7 linked regions of the Nothobranchius furzeri genome follow. The protein of the gene in region 2 interacts with the protein of the main gene of each other region in a biochemical or structural test. Links are inferred from orthologs where the notes say so. Each region holds a gene or a part of one and is shown on either strand. Other genes may lie near its edges. The genes, in order: bag3, plcg1, itk, wasb, fgfr2, pdgfrb and GRB2-associated-binding protein 1.

Region 1 (4,102 bases), on a different chromosome or scaffold from region 2:
ACTTTCCCCTTTATATAACGTATAGGTGATTTCCAAGTGAGACTCTTAAAGAGATTGACTCGTTGTTCTTGAGCTTAAAGAGACAATGTGTAGTTTTTAATCATTCATTTCTGGAAATATCCATCAAAATGTCGTTAAATTAATGGAATGATGCCCAGTTGTTGAAAATGATTGACGGCTTTGTATAATAACCATAAAAATCAGGTCTAAAATACATGGGAGTGGGTCTAAGTCTCTGGGTGACTCCATATTAGATGTCAAGTTTCCTTCTAAGGGAGCCCGTGAGGACAAATTGCATTTACTGATTTGTAACAAACAGTTACAAAACTTTTGTCATTCTTAAATGTTGTTTTACACATTTACCTCTTCACTTGTTGCCACTGATTAAAGGGAGTCTGATGTGCTTGTCATTTTACTAAAGTTTGCACTCCCCAGGGCTTTTTGACCCTAATGAGCATCTGTCGCTTTCCGCAGCCGCTCGCTTCCGAACTCAATTTTTACTGGTACCCGCTCTACAACGGCTCCGCTCCGGTGCAGAGACCTGAGGTGCGCAAACAGGCATGCGCTGGATTTTCGAGATCTTGCGATACAGTCCGAGCAATAAATGCTCGTTGGAAGTTAGATCCAAACACCCGTTGTGTGGGGGAAGCATCGAAATGAACTGTTTAATCTGCCCATCATTTGTGTTGAGAGATCAGCAGTGTTTGGATCAACAAAGTGTGACTACTTTGATAGTAGAAACTGTATTTATGGCTTATGTTGTGCATTTAAAGTTCAACCGCCATTGATAGTTGTTAAAAGTTGTTAAACATGTGCATATGAAACAAAAAACGTTTTTTGTTTATCGATTTATTGTGAAATAACGGAAGTTGTGCTTGCTCCCTTTCCTGTTGGGCGATTGTGATTTCTGTCCTTTGACTGCGGAGGTGCTCCGGCGTCCGGCAAAAATAGAATCAATCCATTTTTGCCGGATGGCGGAACGGCTCACTGCGCCGCACGGCCGCAGTAGTGGAACAGCTCTGATTGACTACAACGGGACCGTTTTTGCTGCAGAGTTCGTGCCGGAGCGGAGATAGTGGAATTTTGGGGTTACTCAAACACAAAAATACTGCTTGCTTGCAACGATTTATGTATCTACTGCCCCCTATCGCCAGGAAAAATACACACCGTCTCTTTAATTGCAGTTGTTGCCTTCAAGAACAGTGGCGCCCCCAAGTGGTGGCCAGAGGGGGGCCTTGACCAATCCTGGAAAATTGCTGGCCACCTCAGAGCACTTCCACTCTCCAACCTCCTTTAATAAATCATATTTATGTTCAATATTTATGTTCACAAAACTATACATTAGTCTTCTTTAATAAAATGTAAAACCTTACAAATATAGAAATAAGTAAACAAATTAATATGTTGCTGCTGTGCACCATTTTCAAGAAGAAGTACAAATATCAATCTGTTTTGTAAAATGCATTCATTAAGACAGCGACAGATACATCCAGCTGTTCTAAACTACTAAAAAGTAAATGTTAAAGTATGAATAAATTAAATATTTGAAGTTTCTTATTTTCTCAAATATAACATTTCTGCTGCATATTTTTTAAGAATGGATGAGGATGCAGAGCACAGCTACAGGCTAAAAAACTCAAGAGTTACCAAGAGAACTAGTTTGATGTGCCACCCTTAAATTTTCCTTGGCCCCCCAATCTTGTCCCCCATGAAAATGTCCTGGTGCCGCCTCTGTCCAAGAGTGTTCAGAGTTATTGGTTAAGAGAACTTGAAGTCTTCATCTGAAAACTGCATTTTGTCTTTGCTGATCTGAAACATTTATGCGTGACAACAAAAAGAACAAAAGCAGAAGAAATCTGTAAAGGTGCAAATACTTTTTTTACATAAGCCTCAGAATGATCAAACACCAACACTGAAAGTGCCCCATGCAGCTGAGATAATAAAAAATAAATAAAATACAACTACAAGCAGGGCATTAATGTGTGAACTATTGATAATCCTCCAGCAAAAGTTGAGAAATAGCCGTGAACGACCCTTTGCCCTCTGCCTGGTCCAATGCACCAATTTTATCCCTCAACAGCTGTGTCTTTCTAGCAGATTCCTCAGGACACTAACTTTGGAAAACAGTGTCTGTCCCTATGAAGAAAGATTACCCAGCTGGCAGCCTGTGGAGCTCACGTCAGCCCACGGATTTGATTACAGACCTGTAGATTTCTACATTTCCACATCTAAACAACCAGATTCAATATCCTAAATGGAATGGGACCCAACTGCATTTTATTTTGTGGGTAAAAAAGTTTATAATGAGTTTTCCACCTAAATTAACGCTGGTATCAGAAAGCCTTGACACTCGGCAGTGAGTCATCGGGTAATAATAGTGTTAGATCATGACTCGGGAACATAACGGGGCTGATCACCCGTTTTATTAGGCTTATGAGCAGTCAGTGAGGGGGAGGCGACGGGACCTAACAAGGCCTACAGTCAACAAGATTAACACAAAACAGCCATGTAGCGTAGCGACTCCAGCAGCTTAACACAATCCGTAACCGACGCAGCACCCTACGGAAACCCGTTGAAACAACTTTATCCCGCCTCCGTTACCTTTTTGGTGTCGTGTCTCGGGTCATTCCAGGTTGTCGTCCGGTTGTTGTGATCCACGAAAAAGGGCCATCCAGTGTGAGGGTCGATTTTGACTTCCCATCCGAGGGGGAGCTGGTCGATGTCATTATCAGCCATCACAAGTGTCGGAGAGTGCGTCTTCACTGCGTTCATGGCGAGTACTGAGACATTTTTTATGGGCGGCGGTCCCTTTAAAGATTCCTGCGAGTGACGTAGGAAAGTGGGCTGGAAGTTTCTCGAAATAGCGGGGTTAATGTCGGGGGCGGCGGACCGCGCTGGAAGCAGCGGCATGGCGGCTACTTCTTGTGTCGCAGACACCCCCCAACAAAAGACACTACATTAATTTAGTTATAGTTGGTGTTTACAGAGAGCAGCTATTACCAGCTCTACTTTAATAACAACCCCAGAATCACGTAATAACCCTGAAACCTTCTCACTCACGCATGCGCAAATCTATTAGACCTGGGGTTTGAACAGCAGTTTTTCCCCTCAATCCAATTTGCTTAGAGATGCAACTGCTAAACCTGTTTATGCGTCTGCATCGGTGCGGAGACACAAAACGCCAGGAACTTGAAACAAATATGATTTATCGTTCTGATAAATATCTACGGAGGAGAATTAAGGCCACTGATAAAAAGTTATTTTCTCAGATTTCTTAGATTGTAAGAATTATGAGAAAGGGTAGAATATTGGCTCCTTTCTGAGATTAAAATTAGAAATATGTATGTCATCTAGTCTGTTATAAAATGTGTGTCATTTTTGTGAGGAAAAGAACCCCATCTTGTTTCTATTATCAAGTTTAAAAATTCGGAAAACCTTGTGAAAAATGAGTACCGATGCTTGTTTTGTTCGAGTCCAAATCGTGAAAACCTCGAAATACAAAACGAGCGTACCCATGTAATGGACTTCAAAATAAAAGCCTTTTACGTAAATTGCGTTGCTTTCGAAAAGCAAGAGGGAAATAAGTCATTATATTCTCTGAATCAACTGTTTTATTCAATTAATTTCTATTTACACACGGTGAATTCAACTTACAGAATAAAATTAAGCCATTTATAGCTTCGAACTAAAGGTTGACCCAGACCCTTTGGGTTGACCTTTCGGTGCTCATGCGCAGGCGCAGTTAGCACACTCAGCGTGACGTAAGAAACGTTGCCCGGTTAGCTTTCTAAGCTAGTTAGCTCGTTGTTTACAGCGTTTATCTCTCAGTCTACGTCCTTTAATTACCAAATAGTTTATATTTTTTCTACGACGTCACGTTCAGTGTTGGTCATGGACGACGAAAGTTACCCCAGAACCCTGTAAGTATTTTTAGTGTTTTCGTGGTAGCTAGCTTTCGTTTGGTTTCTCATACGCAGCGGCTAACTGAGCTACATGTCCAAAAAACAAGTGTAGACAACGTTCAATATTAAGTGTTAATTTACGTTTTTAATTAGTAGGCGTTCAAAAACACGTATATTTCGACGATTAAAAAAAACGTTAG
Region 2 (3,016 bases):
AACACGACACCACCTGCTCTCTGGCTGCTCTGACACAGACAGGTCGTGACATTTTCCTGATGCCCAACAAAAACAAAAAAAAAAGTAGATTTAAGGTGTGACAAACTGGAGGCACGTGAAGCAGAGATGTTTAAAAAATCATGGGGAGCCCTCATGTTTTACACAAAGTCACATCATGAATGCTTTAAGTTTTAAATAATTAGAACATTTAGAAACACAGAGAGAGGAGCTCTTTGAGAGCTCATCAGCTGCTGCTGCCGCTCTCTGGACAGCAGCACGAATAAATATATATATATATATTCAGACACGGCGATGGAAAGAGAAAAAGAAAAAGTGACGAATCTAAACTTGAAACAGTTTCTAACAGACCTTTTGGAGCTCTCTCCCCATAGCCTCCTTAATAAGCAGCTGTTATACACAACAAGAGCTCCGTCGACACCGTCCAGGCCCAGAGCCTTTTGTTTTCCTGTCCACACCGTTTCTTCTTCCTGTCTACAGCCATTAGCTTCCTCTCTGTCCCCCACCCCTCCTGTATCCAAGACCCTCAGTCTCATCAGAGTAGGGGAGGGAGGGGTGGGAGGAAAAGAGCTGCCTCGAATGTAGGCCAAAGCAGTGGTGTGCGTTTCCATGGAAACAGTGATCACAGCAGTCAGTGACATCATCAGTACGTGGAGAGGCTGCTGGGTGAGGGAAGGATTGGGTGGGGGGGCGAGTCCTGATTGGCTTGGACTTAGACGCGGTTCTCTACGCCCACTTTGGTCCTCCGCAAGTTCCTAAAGAGAGGACAAAGACAAGAGGACGCCGTGAATGTTGTACACCCCCATAACTGGACAAGCGTAAAGTCTCCACACTCACCGTCTGTTCTGTGGGTCCATGTGGTCCAACAGAGACTCTTGGCTCACCCTGAAGTCATCTATGGAGGCCTGGTAGCGGGTGTCCAAAGGGCCATCCATCACTCTGTAGGCTGAGGCCTGGGGGGGTGACTGAGGCAGAGGGGACATGGTGGAGGGAGAGGAGGACACAGAGCTCAGCTCCCCAAAACGATCTCGTCCTACTTGGGCTGAGGCTGGTACTGCTGTGGGACTGGCAGCAAACAGCGGGCTCAGGAGTTCACCATTTTCACCCTGAACAGGAAACCCAACGTGATTAATGAGGCTGACCGCTTTAACTCCTTTGTTTCTAACGCCTGAAAACTTCTCACATGTTCTAAACTAGTGTCATCCTTCAGAAACGCTTTCTGGGTTGATGATGAAATGTGACCATGCTCAAAAAGACTGGATGGGTTTGTGTGTGTGCGTTTAAAGTGCTAATAACTGCACGTCAGTGGAAGAGCAGCTCCGCTCAGTCTGGAGTCGTAACCCACCCTGGTTTTGCTAATGTCCACATGGACCAACAGAGAAGCCAGCTCCAGATCCTCGCTGTAGCTGTTCTTCAGCGGTACGGAGCGGTACCCTGGCAAAACACAGACAGGTTCAAACTCATTAAAGAAAGCATTTATTTTTCCAGAAACAAGCAAACGTATGAGTTGCTTTAACACGTACCTGTCCTGAGGCCTTGAATGGGGAACGAGGCCTGAGCCAGGAAGTTTTGGTCACTGAACATGTCGATCTCATAGACCACAAAACGCAGGAACGCAAAGGCGGAGTTTAATAAACTGAATTCAAACTTTGTCTGCCATGTAGGGTTCAGTCCATTATCAGCTAGAGAACAAACAACAAAAAGTCACATTCTGTTTGAACATTACACCCAAAAACAAACCGTGAATCTGTAATGACCCACTTCATCTGGGCTTGCTGCGGTTTGTGCCAGACACTACAAAAGATACATCTGACTAAGTTACATCAGTCAGCTGTAAAATGAAGACAGACGTGGATTTTCTCACTACAGTCACACCTGGCAGGAGGTTTCTGGGGAAAATGTGATGATTTGTGAAATATTCTGCCCGTCAATGTTATTAACATTCTAGTATTCCTATGAAACCAAGTTGCACGTGGCAGCAAACACTGCGACGACCTCTCAAGAAAACAGGAAAAACAAAAACCCTGGAGAGAAACGAAGCTGAAGATCAAAGAGCATCAGAGAAGAAAGGCTGGCTATTTACTGGAGACAGTCGAGTTAATCGGCAACACCATGAACAGGAGCAGAAGCTTCGTCATTTCTGGAGAGCAAAGATGATCGTCAGCGAGCTTGATGCCAAAACAAAATCTACCATGAACTAAAATAAACAAAAGAGCCACAAGGTTTTGTTTCCAGCTAAAACCTGATGAGCTACAATTACATCATTGAGAAATGTTTTGCCTCGTTTTCCCAGACTTCCTAATTGTTTGTGCAACTTCCTGTTTTCCAGCAGCGGCTAGGAAGTGACACAGGCGTAATGAATTCAGTAAACAAAAATATTTGTACAGTTTTAAAGTGGAATGCTTTTTAGGAGCACAGAAGAGTTCAAATTCAAGTTGGTCTTACCTTCTGAGTTAGTTTTTACTTTGGTACTGTCATAATCTGTCCCACAAATTTCTATCTCAACGAGAGGACTAACGATGCCTCGGCCGTGCTTCGGCAGGTGACGTGCACCCAGGACCTTCAGGAGAAAACAGAGGAATAAACAATAACACATGAAAATTAAGCTCCTTAGTAAATATGTAGTTACTGGTTTTGGCGCACTGACACGCTGACCACAACCCAGTTTAGACTGGGTCTAAATCACAATTATTGTTTAGGAAATAACCCATCAGACCAACACATTTAGCTGTTGTAGCCTGTGAATTTCTGCAGAACTGACATTAATTTTATGCATTTTCCCCACACTTTTGCTGCAGTCATGGAGGTTTTACATCACTGCAATGCGATTAAATATTTGCATTGTCCCGAGCCGACCTACGTGTCCAAGACTCAAACCTAAATGGTGCACTAGGAGATGTTTTGGTGCTCCCTTTCAGCTCTTTGCTCAGATGATGAATAATGTTTTTATATTGCGAGAAGTAACTGTAAAAGGGTTCAATTTCTAGATTTTGTTTGA
Region 3 (4,193 bases), on a different chromosome or scaffold from region 2:
TTGAAGCACCAGCAGAATTTTCTTAGAAGTTATATGGAACTCTGTGGTAAGATATTGGTAGATGGAGATGTAGTCGAAAGAAATACTCAACAAGACAGATTATCACGTGCAATTTTATCCGAAAAAAAAGCAACTAGCTGAAGAAAACATGAACAGATGTTCAGATTTGATTCTGATCTTGTAAAATTTAAATTTACTAGCCCCAACAGCATCACAGGAATTTCTTATAATGAACAGAAACACAACAGAACCACCAGGACAGGTGCCACGCCCCTTTTAGCAGAAGAAACCAACAAAAACAAGGCGCTTTGTCCTCATTTGCAACTATATGTGAAAATAATTGCAAAATTTTGTCTCGTGCCGCTATTTTCAATTTTTTGCTATTTGTGTGTGCGTGACTTGATCAGGTCATTGAACTTTGGTGCAGTGTGTTACTTTATGTTGCTATCTGCAAAGCCATGCTATTCACATATATATATATATATATATATATATATATATATATATATATATATTTGGTCCATCTTTGGTGAAAACACACGTTTGACAATTAGAAGAAAGACAACAAATACTAACCACAGCTCGCTGGGTCGTATAACTGACAACCCGCTGCCAGCTTCTCGTGCTGTTGGCAGCATCGCCACTTTCCATCCATCCAGAAGTTTGGGTGAAATTTTGGAACCAACTCATTGTGCTTCGTCTCTAGGTTGAAGAAATCAAACATCTGTTTTATGCATTTGGTTGAGACGAAGTAATGAAGAGTTTACTTGCAAAAACCCCCCAGATGAACCGATTTTCACAAATGTTCGTAGAATGCATCTTTTACTTGAAGCGATATCAGTGAAACTAACGTTTGGTGATTTTGATCGCTGGTGGCTCTCGTCTGCTTTTGCAGATGGACTCTTCAAATATTAACAGATTCGTGACATGGGTTGGTGGTAATCTGATGGTGCATTCACATAAGAATTACCCTCTTTCAGTGCTCTGACCCATCTCTGACGACAATCATTGTCCGGAGCAAATATGTAGAGGTAATGGTTGTCATGGAAAACCTGCAGGGACATCAGACTTCTGTTAAAATACAGAGTGACCTGTTTCCTTTGGTTCATTTCACAGCTTTTGTGCATCCTTTCATTGAATTTGGGTGTGCTTTTCTGCTTCTGATGTTTTGCTTTTATGCACAGAACTTCGGAATATCCATCGGTTGCATTAATAAAGGTGCTTCATATAATAAAGTCAACACTCGAATTTATTTTGTTTTTTATTCACCCTTTACTCAGAAGAAATGCCATGTTCTTCTTCTTATGACAATGAAATGACCTTGTGACCCTAAAGGATAATAATGATGTTCACCTGAAACGGGTACTTGTAGCTGCAAGGTATGGGAATGTCACTGCACACAATCTCCACACACCTAATCCTGGACAGTTGAATGCAACCTTTCAACATGGGCTTTTTCTGCACACATTAACACGCTCTGTGTCACATAGATTCAACGCCATAGAAAATGTGACTTTAAGAAAACCACATTTCAATACAAAATCGTGTGGACTTACCCCCGGACGGCACTCCGAATACTTCAGATCCTGAGTGTCCAACACAAAAAACCTCTCTTTGTAGTTATTTGGTGATGTTCTTTTCTTTTGCTGGGATTTTTTGATCATGGTTCCCCTCAAAATCACCCTGGGGAACATTGTCAAGAAGAACGCAGCGAGCGTCTGCGAATGGTTTTGTCACAAGCAGAGCCTCGCAGAGTCAGAAGAAGAAAAGGCAAAGTTGTGGATGATAAACTTCGTAGATGCTGTGGAGCTTCCGGCGTGAAGCTGCGGCAGGCAGTAAACCACATCCTTGTGGCAACAAATGATTTGCGCAAGCAGAAATACACACTGTTTGATGCACAAACACTGTAGATGTCTACCCTGCACATGTACTTTCACTAATGTTATAGAGAATTAACAAGTTAAGCCCAAAGCAGGACTGTGAATGCAGAAATCCAGGTTTTGGTAGTACTTTTTTAAACAATTGGGAAGATAAAATGAGTAACAAAACACAAAACATCACTGAAAAAAGTTAAGATAAAGAAATATCTCTCTTTCTCTAAATGTGTCTTTGCATTTAGGGGTTACACGTCAAAATATTGTTATTTTTCAGAGAAGTTTAGACTGTTTACAGTGAATGCAGTCCATTAAATTCTTGATTAAAGTAAAGAGTAAAAACTACTTAAGCCACATAAAAATTTACAAAACTCATCTAGGTGACAAGGAGTAAATAAATAAACGTGAGCAAACCGGTTCGGAACATTAGGAATTAAAATGCTGCTCACTATCTTTTCACAAGAGAATAATAGAATTCAGTTTGTCATTATCAACCCAATTTCTTTTTAATATCGATATCAACCCTTTTACACCGTTCTGTTTGTGGCAGGTGTTTCACATACATAAGAAATCACAATCATCTTTTTTTATTATTATTATTTTAGGATAAAATTCATAGATTTCTGCAGATTCTGAAAGAGGACAAACAGATCACAACATGCCCTATAGGTCATAAATTGTAAGTCGCTTTGGATAAAAGCGTCTGCTAAATAAACATAAAGAACAAACAATAACTGACATAGTTTGTAAAATGAGAACCCGAAGGAATTAATATACAGGTTATTGTTTTTATGTCTTTAAAATTAGTATTTTCATTCAAAAATATTCAACAGTTATCTGAATATTTTAGTAACTTTTCTTTTTCATGTATAAAATCAGTTCAGTTTGGGCATCAAACGGTACTTTTTCCATCGATCCTCTGAAGAACAAAGTAAAAGAAAAACAAATTTTTCCGTGCTTCCGGATATTTCTACCAATCAGCGTTGAGCTCTTTCTGTGACCGCACCCCAATCAGCGTTAGGAAAACAATCACGAGGACAGTTCAGCCAATAGAAATCAAACAGAAACGACTGGTCTTTTCTGCATTTATCGAAGAAGCTATGTTAGCCCTGATCTAATTTTCCAACGATATTTGATTAACGTTATTATTAGAAGTATATGTTGTGTTTCTAAAGGATTGTTCTTAAGGTGGGTATGAATACATTTACTCCCTTCTCATTTACCTTTTATGTAGTTCGCTTCATTTTTGACGTGCCCAATTAACTACCGGGATTAGCGGTGGCTATAGTTAGCTAGGTTTCTGTACAAAATGCAGCGGTGACGCTAACGTAGTTCTGCTTGTAGTGTTTGTCAATAACACATTGAGTCCGTAACAAAATAAAGGTAACACAGAAGACAAAGGTTCAATGGTTAGGTGCGTGCTAGGAGTTGAATTTGACTACTTAAATACCTAAGAACAACGTTTCAGCCAGATATTAAACCTATAATTATTAACTATGGCTAATAAAGCCTAATTTTACTTCAAACTAGATTGCAAATGTTTTACGCCAAAATGAGCAGTAGTGTGTATACTATAATTTACGTGTCATTTTAAGTTCATATCTACTTTTCCTACCAACAACAGCAGTAGGTGCAACTTAAAAACCCATCAGAATCTAGTTTTGCTTTGAATGTTTTGTGCTGGACTGGTGCTGCAACACATTAGTTTAGATTTTAGACTAACACTTTACTGGAAGTGTATGCTGATTATTGAATTTGCCCCTCCAGCCTAATGATAGAATCCTGCAGTTATTGGGAGAATGACGTTTGTCGAATTTTTAAATATATTTTATGTACAAGGATTTTGAGAATCTTTTATCGAAACTCTCAAAAAGTAAATCAAACAATAATAAATTCTTAATAAAAACATTTTATTTGTTACTGCAGTTTACATTTAACAGTATTTATTTGTACAAATGAGGGGCATTCAGGCTTTTACTACAATCTGTTATGTGTAATAGTGTATATCTTTTGATGCAGAGCTCTACACGATATGCTGTTACCTAATAAGTTATTGTGCTCATTAGGTAGCTGTAATGTATTGTGTAGTAGTAGTAATCAGCTGATAATGTCATGTTTTTCAGCTTAGCCATCAGCCACAGCTGGTTCTACATGAATGTGGAGCCGAGTTTTAATCTGAAGATGGAGATATAACTATGGTTTTGGGCTGAAATATTAAATTTAGAATAAGTTGCACTAAACTGCCACACTGATAATTGCACATGTCTACAGCACTATTAGACACTCATCTGTACAGGTTATCAGCTAAAAAAAAGTTCA
Region 4 (4,015 bases), about 19 Mb from region 2:
AGGACGTTTTAGACCAAAAGTACGGCGACAGAACCCCAGCTTTGATGAGACTGGTGCTGACTCAGGTTTGTGAGTCTTATTAGAAAATATTTGTTGTGCTGCTGGTTTGCCTAAAGTTAGCTTATCAGGTAAAGTTGTTGGAGAAAGAAAGGTAATATTTACTATCATCTCACACTAAACACTAACAGGAACAATACTCTGCCCTGAAAATGCTTAATATGTAGCTTCAGATTAAAAATGATGTGGTACAAGACAAATATATATGATGTTGACTAGTGCGTGTCACTTGTGTGTGTGTGTGTGCGTGTGTGTGTGTGTGTGTGTGTGTGTGTGTGTGTGTGTGTGTGTGTGTGTGTGTGTGTGTGTGTGTGCGCGCGCGCGCGTGTGTTCGCGCGCGTGTGTGCGTGTGTTAAGCCCCGGATGTTCTTCAGTTCTTAATCCGCCCCTGCTGGACTGATTCTGCCATCACTCGTGGCATTTTCACATCTGGCCCAGCCCGGTTGGGTCCTGGCTGGGTTGGCCCATCCCACCATGGCCAGGTTTTGTTTGCACAGCCTTCTCAGGAACGTAGACGTCTCCGAGCATGTAGGCGGGGCAAAAGATGCATGGAGAAGTCCACGGTGTCCTTTTTTCAATTAGTAAACAAAGGTGGCTGAGAGTTGCGTTGCTTTGAGAGACTCTGACATGAAGCACACAGCTTCCTACTGTCTCACTGAGACCGCCACGCGCTCCTCACAGCTGTCTGGCTTTGTGCTCCCACGGCAGGTGTGAGCTGCAGTCGGAGGAGATGTTTACTCCACTGCATCCAGAATGATTATGAATCATGTATGCAGGAAGCCAGCACTGGCTGATTCTGCTTGCCAATCAAAGGCTTTCTCTGTAGGCAGACATGAACTTTGGCCACCCAGTCGGTCCGAAGTGGATGTGTTGTCAGTGCCAAGCTGTCCGCTGGAGATGAGATCTGGAAAAAATGGTCGGCTGAGCACAGAAAACACACAGATTACCCCGATGTGAACACAATTACCCTGCCAGGGATGGACCGGGCCGACCCAGATGTGAATACACCGTTTAGGACATAGAAGTAGGGAGGCAGCAGAGGAAGGCAAGGCTTTACAACAATGTTCCCCCCTGAAGATCCGCCCCCGTTGACTACTATTGATGTAGGGTGCTACAGCCGAGCCCATAACCCAAACCTGTTCTAAATATAAACATGGAAGCGTGTCCTTCTAAACGTCTGCTTAACCCTCTCAGGCTCAAAGTAAGTTATGATAAAAGGACGAACAACTAAGTCCTTCAGGGGTGCTCCTGAGTTAAAACATGCTCATGAAACACGTATGTGGAGAAACCAGGTCGGTAGGTTTTAACGTTGCTAATCTGCAACGCCTGCCTCCGGAGGGTTAAAGCTCTGTAGTGAGAGGAGCAGGAGCGTGCTGACCCATCCGGCTGTTCCGCTGGTTGATTTTCTCCACGACAGCATGCTGGAAGGCGTCTGCCTCCTGTTGGTCCGTGAAGTTCAGGCCCACCTGGCAGTCCTGTTAACTCACCCAAACACACACTCACAATTTCATACTGACACAGTTATTGCCTTGTGTGATTAGTGCGCGCTTACATCTGCAGGAAAGGTGTGAAAGTATTGCAGAGGCGTGAAGTAAGCCATCTGGTCGTACAGCTCCTGCTCCCAAACCCGTTTCCCTGCCTGTGGAAAAAAGTGCCTGGTCAGCGCGTCTGCCCCTCACTAACTCCCGTCACATCTGAGTCACAGCTTCTCCAACGGAGACGTCAGTCACAAAACCTAGAGAGGATGAGCTCATAGATTCTTTATTTGACCTTCAAATCGAACATCCGGATGAAGTAGGAGCGCTGAGGGTTGTCTTTGACGAAGCAGACCACTCCGGTGTGCTGCAGGCTCCATGTGGACGGGCTGTGTGGCAGAGCCATGAACAGCTGTGCTACAGCGGTGGCTGTGGACTAAACACACACACGCACACACACACACGCACACGCACGCACACACACACACACACACCCAGTTGACATGTAAATTTGCTCGTTGCTGGTGGATAACTTCCTCCTCTGCTCTCATTTTTGTGATAAGAGCTCAAAAGGCTCTCTGTCTTCTCCGGATTACACCTGACACACGTCTGATGTCTCACGGCTCTGCCAGCTTACTCCTACGGACGAATGAAGTCAAAAACTAAACTTCTGCTCTGCTGTCAGACCAAACCAGCCATGGCGTCTACATCTGACAGGAGAGGAAGAATCCAGCCAGCCAGCATTTCCTGTTACAGCTGCCTCCGTCATGGTGACCCAACAGCAAATAACTTAACATCACTCACAGCTGCTTACAGAAAGGATCTTTCAGTTCCCAACTCAAAAGGATGATGTTTTAGGAGACAGGCCTCAGCTAACGCCTGCCTCTTCAGCATGTGACGTTTTAGCGGCTCAAAGAGGAGGAAATCTAACATATAGGCAGGCAATCGGAATGCGTTAGTTTTGTTTAGCAGCAGAAGTGATGAATAATAAATTGAACGGTGGGTTATTTCCTCCCGGTTCAGAACTTACAGCACACCTTCTGCCCAGCAGCTCCTCCAACATGTCATTCTCCTGTTGGCTCAGCAAAGAGCTTCGATCGCTCTCTGTTTTACTCTTAGCTCCACGACTCATGACGCCTCTCACAAACCAACATGTAACGGCATCAAAAGTCTAAAACGAAGAGGACAGCGGTCGGAATATTCTCTACGATCCAGGAAGTTTCTCTTCTCTGTTCTGAGCGAGCATCAGCTCGAAGCAGGAAGCAGACAGCCACACTTCTCTAACCCCCACTTGTCTTCTCTCACTCTGACGTGAACGTGTCACTTCCATGTTCAGACAGAGGCAGGGCACTGCTGCTTCCCTCCAGCTCAGAGTTTACATGCATAAATAATCAGCATCAGATGTACAGGAAGTACAAAGAAGAGACTTTTTTTTATTGACAAACAACATTTAAATACATTTTTAAAACGCGCAGGCTCTGGAACAAAGGTGTTTGGTCCAGTCGTACAATAAAAACAATTAAAAGCAACTGAATTGTAAATGCAGGAAATGATGAAACAGTCTGGGTGTTGAATTTAACTGATCGAACAGCTGAATGTGACAGGAAAACAATGCATTCTCTCTCTTAACGTAACAGTTAAATACTCTTTGGTTTGTGGGTTGGAGACGAACAGAAAACAGTTTTTCACTTGTGTGAACCACCTTTCAGAGTCACACAACTATCAGTAACCCTCTGACTGACCGTCGACAACAGCAGCATAATCTCCTACATATTGCACCGGGTTGCATCGGTACCTAAATCATGACCTTGTACAGAGCCGCCTGTCAGTCGTCAGGAGACATAAAAACACATTAAATGAGTTTCATCACACAGAAAGTTGTCTTTAGGTGAAATAAAGTTCCTCCGTGGCGATGCCGACCATCAGCTCCTCGTTGTTACCCGAGCAACATCTTACCAGAATCTTGTACATAAAAAACTAACAGAATGAACAACCTATAATGAATGTTTGTTTAGTAAAAGTTAATGAACAAAAACTTATATGACGTATTATGGAAGTAAATGATAGTGGCTCCGTTTTTCCACCCGGCTCCTGAAACCGGACTTCTGCTTTGGTTCTCGTTTGTCCTCCTGCTTCACGGCCCCACCAGCATCCTTGCTCTGAGCGGTGCATTCAGTCAACGCACAGCACCCATCAGGAAAGCTCTTCCTTTGGGCGAGGCTCTTCACTGTTGTCCTTCGTCGTAAATCACCAAACCCCGGATGAGAACTCGGCTGACCGGTGGGGTTTGTTTGCAGGGTGAGTTTTGGTTGACGTGCTGTTTGGAGTTCCTCTGGTCAGTCTTGGCTTGTAGCTGCTAGCTAGTGTCCACCGCCGCTCCGAGACTTTCCCGTGACCCAGCCGATGATGATAAACGACAGGCTCAAGATCATGAAGATGAACCCTAATGCAGCAAAACACATAGCCTGCCAACAGAGAGCACG
Region 5 (3,500 bases), on a different chromosome or scaffold from region 2:
GTTTCTGTAAGCAGGTTCCAATGGTGATGGGTATTGTTTGCTTTTGCTGTATTGTTTATGTTTTCCTTATGTTACGGTGTTTTGGGCTTTGTCTTCTCCCCCTCGTCACTCCCAGCATCATTCCTCTAGATGGGACCACAAGAATGGACACTATCCAGCTCCTTAGAAACCTTTTCTGGTGTTGTGGGTCTAATTTATTTTCTTTCTATTCTCTGCTCTCATCTTCTGACTTCACCTTCTTCTTTTACGTTTGCACCTCTCTTCTTCCTCCTTTTTCTCCTCCTCTTCCAGACCGCAGGAGTTAACACCACAGATAAGGAGATAGAAGTTCTCTACTTGCCCAATGTAACATTTGAGGATGCTGGGGAGTATACATGCTTGGCGGGTAATTCTATTGGGATCTCCTATCACACTGCTACTTTGACGGTGCTTCCAGGTATAAGAACTCGTATGGTGCCCCTTTGTTCTCTTTCTTGTTTTTGTCTCAAGTAGTTGCATGTTGAATGACCTTCATGCAAGGCAAATCCTCCCCTTGGAATCCAGTTTGCACGACTCAAGTATTGGTTGATTATGCAGTGACTTGGCGAACTGTTGAAAACTCCGAAAAGATGTTTGTGTATTTTGTTGTCAACTCGTCGGATTGCAACTCCGGATTCCAACAGCAGCAGAGGAATTGCCTTCTCTTTATTCCCATCCTTCCGACTGCTTTGGGATACTTTTATCAGTGCCAAACTTTGGCTCAGATTGTTTGTAAACTCGTGCCTCCAGTTGTCTCCTTTCCCATTTCCTGGCTCTGATAATTGGCTCCTTTTAGGATCTTCTTCATTTTCATGTAAATTTAGAAAGATGTAGCTCAACACTCGCTTCATGTTGGCTTAACTTTCTCAATTATCAGAGCCAAACCTCTCCGCTTCGACACGACGACTCATGCTTGTGAATGTGACATTCATCCATTGGTTCAGTCTGTCGCCTTATATCGGGACAGGAAATACCAAAGGGTCAAATAGACAAAAGTCATGAGTCCAGCGAGCATTTAAGAGATTAGTTGACAGTCCTCACTCAACAGACCAAACTGGTATTCGGCCATTTCTGGTAGGAGTTTTATTGAATATGTTCTGCCCATAAAGTGCTCTTTTTGTACTGGTGGTGCTTTTGAGGCAGATCTGTCCATGTGTTGTGGTTTTAAAACACAATTATAAAAACACAGTCTCCTACGTGCAGCTGCCCGACGGCTCATGGCTTGGCTCTGAATTGTTTGTCGTCTGGATGGCTCTGCATTTATGGAACGGTTTTTCTGCAGCATGCACTCATCCAAGCTCGGCCCATTTCGCTGACAGGAAGTTCAGTCCATATAAAACCACAGTAGACACTGGAAAGCTTTAAAATGCTCAGATGTCTTTGAGGGTGTTTGTGAGCTCACGCGTCTCTTTATTAATTCAAGTTTATTTATAAAGCGCCAAATCACGACAAGCGCCGTCTCAAGGCACCTCACACAGTAAACATTTCAGTTCATTAGGCCAATCAGAAAAAAGTTTCCCATATTAGGAACCCAGCAGGTAGCGTCGAGTCACTGTCAGTGTCTTTACAGCCATGGACGTAATTTTCACTTTAGAAGTGGGGGGGACATGGAGGGGGGGGTGGTACCTTTACAGTATGCTCTAATGGGAAACAGGCTTCAACACAAACGGTTGTTTTCCACTTGGTCCTTGAGCTCAACCAGTGTCAATTTAATATAGCGTAATATTGTTTTTGGATGGTAAAAAGTGCAGGGATCAAAACTTGACTTTGGAAAAAGTGAGGGGGACATGTCCCCCCTGTCCCCCCCCAAAATTACGTCCATGTTTACAGCGATCCTCATTTATTCAGCTGCGTACCAGCCTGGTTGTTGTAGCGGAGTCATGATTTCAGATCTGTCATGCATGCTGATAACTTTGGCAAATAAAGAAAACGCTTCTGTTTGTTATTCTTCCGACAGTGATTACGTTTGCACACGAGTCATCTCCAAAGCACGTGTCTCTGTGTTTGCCTTATTCTTGTGCCTCGGTTCAAATGAAGCACATGTGCGACCGTCTCCTTTCTTTTTCTCTGATCACTAACCCTTCTGTCGTTTTTTCTAGCGCCTGACAAATCCATAGAGCCCATTTCTCCAGATTATGTGGAAATTGCCATTTACTGCGCCGGCGTCTTCCTCATCACCTGCATGGTGGCCATCGTGGTGGTGTGTCGCATGAGAAACACCACAAAGAAGCCCGACTTTGGGGGGCAACCGACGGTCCACAAACTCACCAAACAGATTCCTCTGCGCCGCCAGGTAACAGAAAGTAGATAAAGAGTTCTAAAGGCATCTAACACCTCCAGAGGAAAACACACACACACACACACACACACACACACACACACAGTGACTTTAGTTTTTACTTCATTTAAAGAGCAAGTCACTCCAAATCAACATGTTTTTGCTGATAAACTATATAAATGAGTGTCTGATCGTGCTGTAGACAAATGTATTCAATAATTCGGCATTTTAGTTCAAATTTAAACATTCTGCCTAAAACTGTCTGCGATGTACCGTCGTCAGGGAAAAATTCTGCACTGTACTTGAATTTAAATCTGCCATCGCTATTGGCTAAGAGGTAAACTATGATGTTAGATGGTAGATTATGATGTCACAATGTCGTGAGTGTGTGTATTTGTTAGTGACTCCGCCCTCTCGGTCTGCTAGGCCACAGCATTTGTTGCATTTTTCAAACAGGAAGTGGGAGTTGAGTAAGAATCTGGTCGTGGGTGACTTGCTCTTTAAAGTATGTAGCTGTAGTTCACACCAAATACATTTAAAAATCATAAAAAATATATTTAATGCATTTTAAGTTAAACATTTACTTCATTTTCTCATTGATGCAATTCATCTGCATTACTGGAATAGTTTAAAATGTGTTTTTTATATAAAATAAAACTTTAAATATAAACAAAAAGTAGAATAAGCACATTGCTGCAGATGCACATGTGGCTTTTACCGCTGCTTTAAAGCTGTGTTTTGTCATATTTAGCTCTTGGTCACCTTTTCATCCTTTTGATTTAAGAAACTTCAAATTTATGTATAAATATTTAAACACAAATCCCAAAATGTGTGTTAAATAATTAGGCATATATCTAAATATGTTAATAAAAAATGCCTGGAACAAGTTTAAACACATAAAGTTTAATTCAAACATGAGATCTAAATATAGATGTGTCACTTTTAAACTAAATATTAATGTGATTTACACGTTTGGACTGATTTAAACCATAAGTAACCTCCCAAGGTAACAGCAGGGTGCAGAGGTGCCCTCACAAACATCTCAAAGTTCCTTTGAACTTTGAGATGTTTCAGATTTAACTCAAATTAATTAGATTTAATTTTATATTTTCAGATATGATAAAAATATATGAATTATTTTCTAAAATGTAGAAAAATGAAGCAGTTTGTTGCTTTAAAATTGGCCCCATGGAGCGGATTCATT
Region 6 (3,500 bases), on a different chromosome or scaffold from region 2:
TGGTAGAGCACACTGCGGTATAATAATAATAATAATAATAATAATAATAATAATAATAATAATAATAATAATAATAATAATAATAATAATAATAATAATAATAATTGTAAGGTCATTTTGTATTGAATAATAAAAAAAATAAAAAAGGCAGCTTCTAAGAAGAGATTATTTCTGCTGATCATGGGTCATAAATATCCTGTAACTGCCATAGCTATGATCAGATTAGTCAGCATCAATAGGCCTTTTCTTTAAATAAACCACAGCTGTAACAAGTGTGGAAGCTGGGTAAAAGCAACAAGAATTCAGAGGATGGTCATTTTCCTTCCACTTTATAAAAATGAAGAGTTCATTTGCAAAAACAGATCCTGTTTTTATAACATTTTCAAAGATCGTATCTTTCTATTATCATTTAAAACAAAGTTATTTTTAATTAAAAATGGCGTGAATCAGTTTTTCACATGTAGGAAATAAAGTTTAAGCATTATTTTTGGTTAAAATGTAAAAAAAAAACAACTAAACATTTTCTTTAACTTTGTGCCTTTGTGATTTGTTTATTTTCTGTTTTCTTAACATTAAAATAAACACAAACAGGTCTTTCCAACTCCTGGTACATCACACTCACCCAGGACCAGGTTGTCTCTGGGCATCTCCCAGGCCAGGTCGTAGGGCAGGTGGATGGGATCCACGTAGATGTACTCATGTCCGTCCACACTCACGGACTCAATCACCTTCCATCGGATCTCATAGCGTGGTTTCTGTTAGCACGGGTGAAGAGGACAACAAGGAGCCATGAGGAAGAAGGAATAATTTTGATCTGTTTGTTTTTATGTGATGAGGAGTGTCTTACCTTCCTCCACACGGCGACGAGGATGATGATGGACAAGATAATGATTACCACTAAGGCTAAAACAGCAGCCAACACTGCCACCTGGGAGAACAAGGCTGCCACAGACACCAGAGACAGAAAAGATCACTACATTTGAAAAACTTTATGTTTGTGCATCAGTCAGCTCTGCATCCGTCTGTCTGTGGTTTACGGAGAATTAACCAATTAAGGGGGTCAAAAACTATTAACCAAATGTAAACACAAGATTACACATTTTCTTTAAAACGTAGCTGATCTGATATCTGTGGTACAAACATGATAGCCTTTATATATATTGTACATAGACAGATTTTACTGACAAAAACGTATCTGAAGATGGAAAGTTTTAGCCCAACATCAAAGAGTCAATTAAAAATGCCACCAGGGGCTGAATATTCAGCTTAGAAACACATGTATAAACGTATTATAAAAATGCATTTCCTAATCTTCAGGTGTTCCTTATCTAAGTGTAAATGACACATAAAAGGTCTGACATCTTGTGGCACTTACTGCTGGACACCAGTTTGACATCCCTCCTGCTGACCAGTCCGGCTCGGTTGGTGGTCTCACAGCGAACGGTGAAGTGCTGAGGCTTGAGGAAGACCATCTTGCTGCGCACCTGGATGATTTTATGAGTCTCATTGTAGCTGGCGTTGGTCTGGATGCTCAGCTCCTCCGGTCGCGGGGTCAGCGGCTGCCACACAGCAGACTGGTTGTTGCACCTGAAGCGGGACACCGGGTGAGATGGGAACAGCTGCAGCAGCAGTGGAGCCCTCTTGTGTTCTCAGGGGGTGTGTGACTCACTTCAGCATGCTGTCACAGCTGTACCACTGTATGATGGGAGCTGGAAACCCCTCTGCTACACAGGTCACTAAGTGTCCCTGCCCTGGGAGGTGGTGGTCTGTCAGGTCTTTAATCTGAGCTGGAACTGCAAACATGGAGGCGGAGGCTTTAATCATGACTGAGTTTGCCTTCAAACGCTACTTTAAAAACATGTTTGTGGAGAAAAAAAACAACAAAAATGTGTCAAATATTTAAACATTCTAGAGTTTGTGAGAACTTTTTCACACCTTGGACCTCCAAGTCAAAGACAACCTGCTTCGTGTCGTCTCCGTTGGTAACGAGGACAGCGTAGAGGCCTTTCTGCTCCGCCCTCACCCTCACCAAGGTGAGAATGGTGAGATACCTGAGGCAAAAGCCAAATGAACAAGCTGTCAGGAAAATAAAAACAATCATCGATCTTTCAGGAGTTTCTTGGGTTTGATTAGATTAACTTCTGTCTGGAGCTAAATGTCCACAGGTTCAACGTTTTGTTAGAACCTCCATCAGAGAGGCTCTCAGGGACTACGGAAAAACGTCTCTTATGGGAATGTTTAGATAAAAATTTGAAATATGGTATGTTGTTTTCCAATCATTTCTAACATGAATGATTAACCTACATGAATAATTTGTAAAAATTAGAAAAAATAAAAGAAAAAATAAAAGAAAAAAGAAAGAAGAAAAACACCATTAATAGGACAAACACGTCTCAATAATCAAACATGATCTTCTGACGATTTCAGCCAAAAGCAGAACTGTTGGACAGGAACTTTTCTGATTTACTGATTGATTCGAGGCTTTTCAACAATGAACTTTTAAAATCCCATTTAATTCGATCGTTTTGGTTGAAAAGGCAAGAGCCCAGGCTTTGTTGAGCGTTTGAGGGTCATTAGGGAGTTGTGATAGGTATTTAGTGTTTATGGTTCCTGTGCGCTGAAAGATGGCTTCCTTCCCTCTGGAGAGGATTGGATTTCTCTCTGTGGAGGTCTCATCTGGTGGTGACGGACAGATCGCCTCTGGAGGCTCCTGGACTGTCCAAAGTTTTTGATAATTCTTTAAATATAAGGAGGCATTTAGATGAGCTGTTCCACCTTATTTCATGCTCTTGTCTGGAGAGGATGGCTGTGTCTCCCTTGATGGCGGTGCCGTCTTTGGTCCAGAGAATCTGAGGAGGAGGGTAGGCCTCGATGTCCACCCTCAGCTCCACGTTCTCCTGGAGCTTGGCTGAGATCCTCTGATGCTGCATGGGCTTCATGTCCACAAAACCGTGTTCTGAGAAGAAAACAAGCCTTTGTAAAGCATTTTCTATTTAATCTTTTAAGTATTTCTTGCATGTCTGTTTTTCTATTCTAGTCAGAAACATGCAAACAGTGCACGTCTGCAGGAATGAACCACTGCTCACGTGTAGTGCATCTGTGTTTAAATTAAAACATTTAGCAAACTGGGAATGTGCTTTAGTGAGGGCATTTCTTCTGTTTCAGCTCTGAAATATGTTCCATAGTCACAAAATCATCTACATTTGCTGGTTTTATATAAATGTTTTATGAAACTTTTGTTATTTGCAGTATGTTTTCTTTCTTATTTCATCCAGTAACTGTAATTCTAAACCTGCCAGTGAGCTTAAAGTTGGCATAACAACACGACAACCTACAAATAGTTAATTTTAATGTATTTTAAATAAAATTAGAAAAAGATGTTGATTTATTTATCTGAGTGATATCTTAGCTGACATCAGCAACAATCAGATAATCAGAATATTTATATTGAGTTGCAGGATAAGCTTTCCTTTAGAGTTGTGGTATTTTTTGTGCATGCA
Region 7 (4,269 bases), on a different chromosome or scaffold from region 2:
AAAATTAGCCTGCTGGCTAACACTGGCACATTTACAGTAACGTATATTAATGTGCACGGTCCTTAAATAAATAAATGAAATGAAATAATCAGGGCTGCATGGTGGCGCAGTGGTTAGCACTGTTGCCTCGCAGCACGAAGGTTGCAGGTTCGAAACTCGGCTGTGGCCTTTCTGTGTGGAGTTGGGTGTTCTCCCCATGCATGCGTGGGTTTCCTCCGGGTACTCCGGTTTCCCCCACAGATCACAACATGCCCTATAGGTTATACATTGTAAGTCGCTTTGGATAAAAGCGTCGGCCAAATAAATAAACATAAACATAAGGCGTTACCCCCCCACCCCACAACCCCCCACCCTCCCTGAGATGTTAGGAATAACAAGGGTGATGTTTTAAGTAGATCCTGATTCTAATCAACAGGATCAAATATTAGCGTTCTCCGTGCTTTCTCCGCCTGTTTCCATGAACATGTCTGACTTTAATATTCATGCATAAAAAATAGTAATTTGGTTAAAAAATAAAAACACTGTTGAGACTGGAGAGGTTTGATGACAGATGAGTTTTGATCCGAGCAACATCAGCAAACCACATAAAACTTTATTTCTAACCACTAAACTGAACCAGAGAATAAAAAAAGTTTAAAAAGCGCTTTTTAAAAATTATTCTGTGAAGAAGTGTTCTATTTTTGATTTAATCATGTGAAGGCGACATATTAGTAATAATAGAGATAAGTTATTTTCCTGCAGCGATCTCCTCTGGTTTCCTGATGTTTGCTCCTTTGACCTTTGACCTCAGCCGGAAGCAGCTACAATAGAGTTAAAATATCTCTTCCCTTTTCCTGCCTCCAAACTAAAATTACCCCCAAAAGAAACATCTCCTTATTTAGATGAACCCTCTACATGTCGATTCTCTCTCACCAACTTTAGAGCCGAGTCCATGAAACCTCAGACGTGACGTCGCCATCAGACTCTCAGAGGGTGGCTGTGGCTCACTCATTTATCGATCCCGAAAGTCATGGAGAACTTTTAATGGTTCCATCACAGGATGAAGAATAAAACTCAACAATGTGAAATCAGACTTGTTTACATTTGAAAACAAGTTTCAGGTCAGCTTCCCTCCCGTCAGACTGTCATAAACGCATCTGTGACGCGTACACCCGCTGACGTCAGCGACGTCACGTTTACGCTCTCTCCGCGTTTCCAGATGCCCTAAAAGCTTCCAGGCAGGCCCAGCTGAGAGCGATTAGTTTATTACGCAACACACACTCTCTCACACCCGAACGCACTTTCTCCTACACACACACACACACACACACTGCTTTCGACAGAGCAGGGAGGTTAAGAGGAGGTAGGCTGCAGCAGGAACTTCATCCACATTCTTTACAGGAACACGTGGAGGCTGCTGCAGCCTTTAGGGCCGCTCGAGTCTGGTTTTATGGTGTTGACAATGGAAACATAGCTGTGTGTGTGTGTGTGTGTGCTAGATTGTACATGCGAGGACTAAATCTTTTTTATGATGTCTTCCTCTTTGGTTTCCCCTGCTGACCGCCTGTCCTGTCCAGTGGTTCCCTCCTAAAAACCTTTTCCTGCAAACATCTCTGAAACCAGCTGATTCGTTAGAAGCATGCTGGGATGTCCCATATCTGAGCTCGTTTTCTCTGAACTGAAGGTTTCAAACAGCAACGCTACTAAAAATAGATCCCTCTTGCTCTGATTTAGTCCTCCTTTACTTTCCGTACAAACAGAGAAAGGAAGGCATGTGACCAAAGGAGAGGAAGAGAGAGTACAACAAATGAAAGAGAAAGAGTGATGGAAGAGTAGACCGCAGACATTGTTCTGCTTCTCCCTGCAAACGGGAGGAAATATGGAGGAGAGATGAGATTAGGTCAAGTCACGGGGAAGGCATGTCAGAAATGTGGTGTGTGTGTGTGTGTGTGTGTGTGTGTGTGTGTGTCCGATCCAGCTCTCTGGCATCAGGTGTTGGAGATTTGAATTTAAAGATGCAGAATGAACTTTGTGTCGTTTCCACTAACCGTTGAGTTAACTGTTAAAGATTTACAGTAGGAAATGGAAACCTGGTGCTGTGGATCCAGATTTAACAGTTTGGTTTATTATCAGCAGACAAAAGTTAGATGAGAACGTTTCTGGGTCTCAGCTCAGCGGCTGCTCTCTGCTGGACGTGTTTATTGTTTTACAGTCATGGCTTTAGGAAATGACTCACGTCCACGGTGACAGCACACCGATGATGATTAAAGTTAAGAAAAAATACTCAGATGAGCATCCATCAACACCAGTCCAGTGCCGGTGGAGTGTGTTTAATCTAGTTAGAAATAAAGAAATAGATGAGTTTTTGAAACTGAGAGGACTCACGTATCTCCGTAGCTTCTTCTCTGGTGGGGATTTCCTCAGCCATCCTTCACACACCACATCTGCCGCTCCGCTCATCCTGATGTTTCTGGTTAGTCAGTCACCCTGTCAACAGCCGGTCGGGAGTCAGATCAGGTGAAGATCCCGTCTGAATCCACAGACTCAACCAGCAGAACCTCGCACCAGACTCCAGCCGGCAGGAGTTTGAATCAGAAGAACCCAAAACAACTCAGGACCTCAGATCAGCTCTGTCCTCACACACGTTTCCCTGGCTGAGAAGAATCCTGTTTGGGAGGAGCTCATCCACACACACACCAGAGCTGCTCCGCGTCTGCTGACTAACGCAGTCACACCTCCTCCTGAGAGACTTATTTCCCAACAGAATCACTCCTCCCTCCATAACCAAACACAATCCCTCAGCTCAGACATTCCTTCTCTCCTCTCCTCCCTCTCTTTGGCTCCTCCCCTTCCTGCTCACTCCCCCTATTCTGTTAGACAGGAAAAAAATCCCCCCCCCCCCCATGTGTGAGGAATGGTTTTCAAACAAAACTTTCAGTAACCGTCGCCAGTTTTCAGGTCTTCTGATGCAAAAAACTAAATCCCGAGTTATGAGAACGGACATTTTTCAATGTTTTTACTAAATTTTTCTGAGAACTGTCGAAACCCCCTTGATGATCGATTGTATGTTAAAATAAGTTTTCAATACAACAAATATCAGGCATCATTTTGTAATATTATACCAATATTTACCACAGCCACCACTCTGTGATAATTACTATTAAATGATTACATTTCATAAATAAACTATAATGTTTTTTTCTTCCACATCATTCATCAGCGTTCCCCTGAGCTTTACACTCACACACACTGAACCGTTTTTATTACCAAACTCATAACGTTCATGCACAAGCGCCTCTGCTGTTCTGCCCTTAAAACAGACGCAGGTTTAGTCGTGAATCTCTGGAGCTGCGCACTTACCATACCGACTGGTTTGTGGACTGCTGCTCCACATGGGAAGACAAAACAATAGAACTAATGACAAGGAGGCGAACGGGGGGTGACTCTGGGGGAATGCCCACCCTCTGGAGAACACCCTGCATTGCTCCAGTGCCCAAAAATAACCGGGCACGTGAGCCAAATGACTTCCAAGTAGAGGCGCTCGCATCACACCTAAGGGTGACCAGATCCCAACTTGGCACACGTGGGACAGAGACAACTCAAATATGGGACAACGTTAAGCTCCACTTTAATGAGAAAAAACAAACACACAAAACGTATATTCTGCCTTTTAGCCCTAACATCACTGTTACATATACATACAATGATTATTCTTATTATTAAATATTTCTTGTATATATTTCATTTGAATTCAACATGAAGAAGCATACAGCAAAAGCTTTACTATTTCACTGTTCCCCTCAAGTTACCACATTACTCAGTAGTGGCTCTGATCATTTTAATAACATAGATCGGCCCACAATAATAAAAAAATGCAGGTTTAAGCAGCTTTTCAGAGTTTTCATTGAATGTTTTCCACAACAGAATGACAGTAAAAGTACCCGTAATATTTTTTAGATCTTTTTATGTTTGTTTTAATTAATTTTCCACTAACATCAGCATCTCATTAAAAAAAATATCCATACTTTTTTGCCATTTTTTTCTTAATTCAGAAACAAAACGTTTTTTTAAACATGACAACAAATCTCTTCTAGATTTTAGGTGAGATAATAAACATCAAATTCTAATCTGTAAAAAGTCAGATCTAATCTGCAGGGAGTGCAGAATTATTAGGCAAGTTGTATTTTTGAGGAATAATTTTATTATTGAACAACAACCATGTTCTCAATGAACCCAAAAATCTCATTAATATCAAAGCTGAATGTTTTTGGAAGTAGTTTTTAGTTTGTT

What was found.
Region 1: the proteins of plcg1 (region 2) and bag3 form a complex in vitro, tested with the Homo sapiens proteins (2 studies listed by BioGRID). The link is inferred for Nothobranchius furzeri from reciprocal best matches to the Homo sapiens genes PLCG1 and BAG3.
Region 3: the proteins of plcg1 (region 2) and itk form a complex in vitro, tested with the Homo sapiens proteins (2 studies listed by BioGRID, with this or other methods). The link is inferred for Nothobranchius furzeri from reciprocal best matches to the Homo sapiens genes PLCG1 and ITK.
Region 4: the proteins of plcg1 (region 2) and wasb form a complex in vitro, tested with the Homo sapiens proteins (2 studies listed by BioGRID). The link is inferred for Nothobranchius furzeri from reciprocal best matches to the Homo sapiens genes PLCG1 and WAS.
Region 5: the proteins of plcg1 (region 2) and fgfr2 form a complex in vitro, tested with the Homo sapiens proteins (2 studies listed by BioGRID and IntAct). The link is inferred for Nothobranchius furzeri from reciprocal best matches to the Homo sapiens genes PLCG1 and FGFR2.
Region 6: the proteins of plcg1 (region 2) and pdgfrb form a complex in vitro, tested with the Homo sapiens proteins (3 studies listed by BioGRID and IntAct, with this or other methods). The link is inferred for Nothobranchius furzeri from reciprocal best matches to the Homo sapiens genes PLCG1 and PDGFRB.
Region 7: the proteins of plcg1 (region 2) and GRB2-associated-binding protein 1 form a complex in vitro, tested with the Homo sapiens proteins (2 studies listed by BioGRID and IntAct, with this or other methods). The link is inferred for Nothobranchius furzeri from reciprocal best matches to the Homo sapiens genes PLCG1 and GAB1.

Annotation. Positions count from the first base shown.
Region 1 is NC_091752.1:5,543,179-5,547,280, forward strand, and holds the start of bag3 (BAG family molecular chaperone regulator 3), read right to left. Parts: upstream 2,801-4,102; 5' UTR 2,773-2,800; coding exon 2,602-2,772; intron 1-2,601. Other genes in the region: tial1 (nucleolysin TIAR), read left to right, coding at 3,892-3,920. UniProt on the Homo sapiens protein: Co-chaperone and adapter protein that connects different classes of molecular chaperones including heat shock proteins 70 (HSP70s), e.g. HSPA1A/HSP70 or HSPA8/HSC70, and small heat shock proteins (sHSPs), e.g. HSPB8.
Region 2 is NC_091755.1:60,800,503-60,803,518, reverse strand, and holds the end of plcg1 (1-phosphatidylinositol 4,5-bisphosphate phosphodiesterase gamma-1), read right to left. Parts: intron 2,579-3,016; coding exon 2,464-2,578; intron 1,701-2,463; coding exon 1,542-1,700; intron 1,453-1,541; coding exon 1,364-1,452; intron 1,125-1,363; coding exon 856-1,124; intron 774-855; coding exon 731-773; 3' UTR 501-730; downstream 1-500. UniProt on the Homo sapiens protein: Mediates the production of the second messenger molecules diacylglycerol (DAG) and inositol 1,4,5-trisphosphate (IP3). Plays an important role in the regulation of intracellular signaling cascades.
Region 3 is NC_091742.1:50,784,797-50,788,989, forward strand, and holds the start of itk (tyrosine-protein kinase ITK/TSK), read right to left. Parts: upstream 2,801-4,193; 5' UTR 1,695-2,800; coding exon 1,557-1,694; intron 1,459-1,556; coding exon 1,354-1,458; intron 1,053-1,353; coding exon 971-1,052; intron 703-970; coding exon 577-702; intron 1-576. UniProt on the Homo sapiens protein: Tyrosine kinase that plays an essential role in regulation of the adaptive immune response. Regulates the development, function and differentiation of conventional T-cells and nonconventional NKT-cells.
Region 4 is NC_091755.1:42,288,305-42,292,319, forward strand, and holds the start of wasb (WASP actin nucleation promoting factor b), read right to left. Parts: upstream 2,801-4,015; 5' UTR 2,665-2,800; coding exon 2,563-2,664; intron 1,969-2,562; coding exon 1,828-1,968; intron 1,697-1,827; coding exon 1,610-1,696; intron 1,533-1,609; coding exon 1,436-1,532; intron 1-1,435. Other genes in the region: sodium-coupled neutral amino acid transporter 3, read right to left, coding at 3,893-3,997. UniProt on the Homo sapiens protein: Effector protein for Rho-type GTPases that regulates actin filament reorganization via its interaction with the Arp2/3 complex. Important for efficient actin polymerization. Possible regulator of lymphocyte and platelet function.
Region 5 is NC_091752.1:4,229,865-4,233,364, forward strand, and holds part of fgfr2 (fibroblast growth factor receptor 2), read left to right. Parts: intron 1-291; coding exon 292-436; intron 437-2,117; coding exon 2,118-2,317; intron 2,318-3,500. UniProt on the Homo sapiens protein: Tyrosine-protein kinase that acts as a cell-surface receptor for fibroblast growth factors and plays an essential role in the regulation of cell proliferation, differentiation, migration and apoptosis, and in the regulation of embryonic development.
Region 6 is NC_091741.1:96,096,251-96,099,750, forward strand, and holds part of pdgfrb (platelet-derived growth factor receptor beta), read right to left. Parts: intron 2,957-3,500; coding exon 2,776-2,956; intron 2,052-2,775; coding exon 1,936-2,051; intron 1,794-1,935; coding exon 1,670-1,793; intron 1,588-1,669; coding exon 1,376-1,587; intron 943-1,375; coding exon 848-942; intron 756-847; coding exon 623-755; intron 1-622. UniProt on the Homo sapiens protein: Tyrosine-protein kinase that acts as a cell-surface receptor for homodimeric PDGFB and PDGFD and for heterodimers formed by PDGFA and PDGFB, and plays an essential role in the regulation of embryonic development, cell proliferation, survival, differentiation, chemotaxis and migration.
Region 7 is NC_091742.1:87,973,335-87,977,603, reverse strand, and holds the start of GRB2-associated-binding protein 1, read right to left. Parts: upstream 2,801-4,269; 5' UTR 2,440-2,800; coding exon 2,365-2,439; intron 2,334-2,364; exon of another isoform or gene 934-2,333; coding exon of another isoform or gene 913-933; intron 1-912. UniProt on the Homo sapiens protein: Adapter protein that plays a role in intracellular signaling cascades triggered by activated receptor-type kinases. Plays a role in FGFR1 signaling. Probably involved in signaling by the epidermal growth factor receptor (EGFR) and the insulin receptor (INSR).